Kluyveromyces lactis: one gene and its partner. The protein of the gene in region 1 purifies or fractionates together with the protein of each later gene. This does not show direct contact. Links are inferred from orthologs where the notes say so. Each region holds a gene or a part of one and is shown on either strand. Other genes may lie near its edges.

The links.
Region 2: the proteins of KLLA0_D03630g (region 1) and COX2 purify together in Saccharomyces cerevisiae (affinity purification with western blotting; 3 studies listed by BioGRID, with this or other methods). This does not show direct contact. The link is inferred for Kluyveromyces lactis from reciprocal best matches to the Saccharomyces cerevisiae genes SCO1 and COX2.

What each region holds. Positions count from the first base shown.
Region 1 is NC_006040.1:311,876-314,839, reverse strand, and holds KLLA0_D03630g (SCO family protein), read left to right. Parts: upstream 1-1,240; coding exon 1,241-2,179; downstream 2,180-2,964. Other genes in the region: type 2A-related serine/threonine-protein phosphatase SIT4, read left to right, coding at 1-597; OLA1 (Obg-like ATPase), read right to left, coding at 2,469-2,964. UniProt on the Saccharomyces cerevisiae protein: Required for the accumulation of subunits 1 and 2 of cytochrome c oxidase complex. Thought to play a role in either mitochondrial copper transport or insertion of copper into the active site of COX.
Region 2 is NC_006077.1:34,174-37,183, reverse strand, and holds COX2 (cytochrome c oxidase subunit 2), read left to right. Parts: upstream 1-1,477; coding exon 1,478-2,248; downstream 2,249-3,010. Other genes in the region: VAR1 (ribosomal small subunit protein), read left to right, coding at 1-545. UniProt on the Saccharomyces cerevisiae protein: Component of the cytochrome c oxidase, the last enzyme in the mitochondrial electron transport chain which drives oxidative phosphorylation.

The DNA of each region.
Region 1 (2,964 bases):
AGAGGAAATCATGAGTCGAGGCAAATTACACAAGTTTATGGGTTTTATGAGGAATGTTTAAATAAGTATGGTTCCACAACGGTTTGGAAGTATTGTTGTCAAGTGTTTGATTTCTTAACTTTGGCAGCTATTATTGACGGGAAAATTTTATGTGTGCATGGTGGTTTGTCTCCCGAGATTAGAATGCTTGATCAGATCAGAGTTCTATCGAGAGCCCAAGAAGTTCCTCATGAAGGTGGCTTCTCCGATTTGTTATGGAGTGACCCCGACAACGTGGAAGCATGGCAAGTCTCACCTCGTGGTGCCGGATGGTTGTTCGGTAGCAAAGTCTCACGAGAATTTAATCATGTGAATGGCCTAAGCCTAATCGCAAGAGCTCACCAGCTAGTTATGGAAGGATTCAAATACCATTTTCCGGAGAAGGATGTTGTAACGGTATGGTCTGCACCTAATTATTGTTATCGATGTGGTAATGTGGCGAGTGTCATGAAAGTCGAAGATGATTTAGATCCAACATTCAAAATTTTTTCCGCTGTACCTGACGATTACATCCAAGAAACAAACAATAATAACCAAAGAGGTGGATATTTCTTATAGAGCGACATTGCAGCGGCCTTTTTGTCTGTATAATCTTCTATGCGAACTTACATCGGACTAAACATTCTTTTTCTCCTTCTATTTGAGAATTCCTTCTTAATATACTGTACACTAGAAATCAAACATTTACCTAACTTTTACGAATTCAAAGATATCCATCAGGAATTAGGATTTAATTGGAAAGTGGACTATAAACAACGTAATTTTTAATGGGTTGAAATCATTACTGAGAAACCAACCCCCCTGAAACTTAAATAGTCTAAAACCCGGTAATATATATAGATATATGTATTAATGATAACGTTTAAACTGCCATTATGTCTTTCACGAGGCTTCACAGAGTCCTGATCTAATCCAAACTAGATCATCGAATATATTCAATTTGATATGGAATCATATATAGAATATCGTGTGTAGAATAGGTTTTTTTTTTTCTTACCAGTATCTCTTCAGCTCCAAAGCTGCATTGAAATATTTAAAATTTCAAGAGCATTTTATACAAAAAATGTAGCCATATGATTGCACTTATAACTTTCATAAATGATGTGATACCAACAAAACGCAGCATTTTGGTTACTCACATCGGGAATAAACGGTTTAACAATAACAAGGATTGCTAATACAGTATCAACTATAAATTGTAATGTTACGCAGCATTGTTCGCGTCCCTAGTATTACTTTTGCTTCTAAAGAAGCAATGAGACCAGTGCTAAGGAAAACTACCTTGGCCCATTTTATGAATCATTACAGATCGTTATCCGTATCTGCAACCAAGTTACAAGAGATTAAGAAATATGACCCTGCCCCTGCAGTAGGTAGTCCAAAACCTAAGAAGAAGCCATTAAGTAGGATACCCATTGGCGGTGCTGAAACTCATACCCAAAAAGTTGATACAGGTTCTACCATCGAATTTACTACCTGGAAAGCAGCAGCTTTGTTCATTCTTATCGGAGGCGGGGTGTACTATTTCTTTAAAAATGAGAAGCAAAGATTAGAGACCGAGAAGGAGGCGGAAGCTAACAGAGGTTACGGTAGGCCATTGGTCGGAGGTCCCTTTAGTTTGATTGATTTTAATGGGAATCCATTTACAGAGAAAGACTTGCTAGGCAAGTTCTCTATCATCTATTTTGGTTTCAGTCATTGTCCAGATATTTGTCCAGATGAGTTAGATAAGTTAGGAGCATGGTTAACTGAGTTAAAGAAGCGTGACATCAATTTGCAACCTGTTTTCATTACTTGTGACCCGGCTAGAGATCCACCAGAAGTCTTGAAAGAATACCTAAGCGAGTTCCACCCTGACATTATCGGTTTAACTGGTGACTATGATGCCGTGAAGAATGCTTGCAAAAAATACAGAGTCTATTTCTCTACTCCACCAAACGTCAAACCTGGCCAGGATTATTTAGTTGATCATTCCATTTTCTTCTACTTGATGGACCCAGAAGGTCAATTCATTGATGCCCTAGGTAGAAACTATGACGAACAGACTGGTGTTGAAAAAATCGTCGAACATGTATCTGCTTATGTTCCAAAGGAAGAACGTGAAAAGAGAAAGGACAAATGGTATTCCTTCTTGTTTTAAACACATTTATCTTGCTTTCTTGTAAATAAATAAAGCGTGTTTCGCAACTTCATGTAAGCTCAGTATTTAACATTAACACATCAAATATACGTTTTCAGTAGGGTATTTTCATTCTTGAATTACGGACGTTACGTTAGCCATATAACGATGAGGCATGAAATTTATATATGAGAATTATGGACTGAAATTAACAACTAAAAAAGAGAAGTGGGGGCCTCATTGTTCGTGAGCAATATGCAAGCAATGTCAACCCTTGTAATATGACGGGTCCTATAATTGTGATGTTCTCTCAATTCTTACCGGCACCGGCTCTGAAGTAGATGATATCACCGTCTTCAACAACGTATTCCTTACCCTTCTGTTGCAATTTACCTGCGGCCTTAATGGCATTGTCATCTTTGTATTCGACCACATCTTCGTATTTCATAACTTGAGCTAAGATGAAAGTGTTCATTAAATCATTGTGAATGACACCTGCAGCTTGGGGAGCTTTAGTTCCTCTTCTAATAGTCCATTCTCTAACTTCATCTGGACCACAAGTGAAGAAGGAGATCAAATCCAACTTTTCTCTCATGGTGGTAACGATCTTTGGTAGAGCAGATTGAACGCCTAGGTTCTTTAGTTCTTCTTCAGCTTCTTCTTCTGTCATATGGGATAATTTTTCTTCTAGACAGACAGAGAATGGAATGATCAAATCACCTGGGGAGTATTTGTCAACCCATTCCTTAATCTTCAACAAATGCTTGTTCTTCTTTCTGATATAATCTCTTTCGGATAAGTTAATC
Region 2 (3,010 bases), on another chromosome or scaffold:
AATCATTAAAAATTATGAATTCATCTTCTAAAAGAAGTTTATCAATGAATAGAATTAAAAATTTAATGAATAATATGCCTAAATTAAATGATAAATTAATTAGTCAAACATATATTAATAATATTAATAATATTATGTTTAATAAATATAATAATATTATTAAATCAATTAATAATAATAATAATAATAACCCCGCGGACTCCTCTCCTGGTAATCCCAGGGGAGGAGCCGCGGGGAAATTATATAATATTATTTATGAAAATAATAATATTAATACTATCCCTAATAATATTTTAATGTTTAAATATTTAGTAGGATGATCAATTCAATTAAAAGGTAGATTATCTAATAATAAATCTATTTCTAGATCTAATACAATGAATATTTTAAATGGTACATTCCAAAACTATAAATATATTTGAGGTAATCAAATGGTTAATAATTATAAATTAAATTATATCCCTGTTAACCATAATATTACTAATATTTCTGATGTTAATAAAAATGGTAAATATAATATTAAAGTTAAATTAAATACTATTTAATTTATTAATTAATAATAATAAATAAATAATCAATATTCTTCCCCCACGCGGCATTACCCTAGGGTAATGCCGCGTGGGGCTTCTTTCTTTATATTATAATTATATAATTATATAATATATAATAAATTAATATATACATATAATCCCCCCTTCATATTATATGAAGGGGGGGGTAAAAATATAAATATTTTATAATATATAATAAATTAATATATATCTTTCCCGCGTTCTCCTTACTATTTCCTTAAGGACCTCTAAATACTAATAAAAATTAATTTTATATTATTAATTTTATATATAAATAAATATATAATATACATTTTCCCGCGGGGTATAATACTTATTATTAGTATTAATAATTTATTTATTTATTTATTTATTTATTTATTAATTTATTTATAATACTTTTCCCGCGGACTTATTCCCTGGAATTCCAGGGAATAAGCCGCGGGGTGTATAAATAATTTTATATACTCTTCTCCCGGGGACTCCTTCCCATAAGGTGTATACCTGGGAAGAGTCCCCGGAGTTAATATAATTAATAAACCCCACCCCCTTTAAGGGGGGTGGGGAGGAATACGCAATTGGGGGAATTTATAATAATTATTATATAATATTATTATATAGATATAAGTAAGTATAATATTATTATAATAATAATAATAGAGATTAGCTTAATTGGCAGAGCATTCGTTTTACACGCGAAGGACATGAGTTCAAATCTCGTATCTCTAATATATATTAAATATATCAATTAAAATATAAAAATTTAATAATAATATATCAATATACTTATTTAATATTATTATAATTATTTATAATAATTTATTATTAATAAGTTTTTTTCCTAATTGCGAACTCATCAAAACATTAGTTGGATGAGTTCGCGGGAGAATAATATATTAATCAATGTAATATCTAATATATAGAATATATATAGATTAAAAAAAATTATAAATATGTTTTATTTATTAAATTCAATTATTATGAATGATGTACCTACACCTTATGGTATGTATTTCCAAGATTCAGCTACACCTAATCAAGAAGGTATTTTAGAATTACATGATAATATTATGTTCTATTTATTTATTATTTTAGGATTAGTATCATGATTATTATTTACAATTGTAAGAACTTATAGTAAAAATCCTATTGCTTATAAATATATTAAACATGGTCAAACTATTGAAATTATTTGAACAATTTTCCCTGCTGTAATTTTATTAATTATTGCTTTCCCTTCATTCATTTTATTATATTTATGTGATGAAGTTATTTCTCCAGCAATGACTATTAAAGCTATTGGTTTACAATGATATTGAAAATATGAATACTCAGATTTCATTAATGATAATGGTGAAACAGTAGAATTTGAATCATATGTTATTCCTGAAGATTTATTAGAAGATGGTCAATTAAGATTATTAGATACTGATACTTCAGTAGTAGTACCTGTTGATACACATATTAGATTTGTTGTTACAGCAGCTGATGTTATTCATGATTTTGCTGTACCTAGTTTAGGTATTAAAATTGATGCAGCTCCTGGTAGATTAAATCAAGTATCAGCTTTAATTCAAAGAGAAGGTGTATTCTATGGACAATGTTCAGAAATTTGTGGACAATCACATTCAGCTATGCCTATTAAAATTGAAGCAGTTTCATTACCAGCATTCTTAGAATGATTAAATGAACAATAATTATATAATTTATAATTAATAAATTATATATAATAATATTCTTTCCCTGCAAACCCTACAATATTATTAGGGGTTTCCCCACGGTCACCTTCCCGACCCACAAGGAGACGGGGATTCTTACTTATTTTATATCCCGCGGATTCATGTTATGAATCCGCGGAATTATTATATTATATTATATTATATTATATTATATTTTTAAATATAATAATAATTATATATAAATAAGAGTATAAAAATAATTTATTGATCTCATGCTATACTCCCCCCCCTTCCTGTCGCACACGATTGGTGCGCAGATATTGAAGGGGGGGAGTAGGGAGTAATAAATTTAGGATAACCATTATTATAATAATTAATTATTATAATAATATTTTTCCCCCGCGGTCTCTCACCCTACGAATGTAGGGTGATGAGCCGCGGGGTAATTCTTATTTATTATATATTATAATATTAATAATAAACCCCCGCGGACTCCTTTAAAGGAGTCCGCGGGAAAAGTATTATCCGCGCCTCATCCATTATAAAGGATGAGGCGCGGATTAATATACATATATATATTTTAATATAATTATATATTATATTTATTTATAATATTATTATTTATTATATAAAATAATACTAATGAGGGGGGCTTATTTCCCACCATATGGTGGGAAATAAGCCCTACCTAATATATTTATTTATTTTTTATTATTAATATAATTAGAATAATATTTTTCTTTAAGAGGCTTATTATATATTAATAGAATAATTATTCCG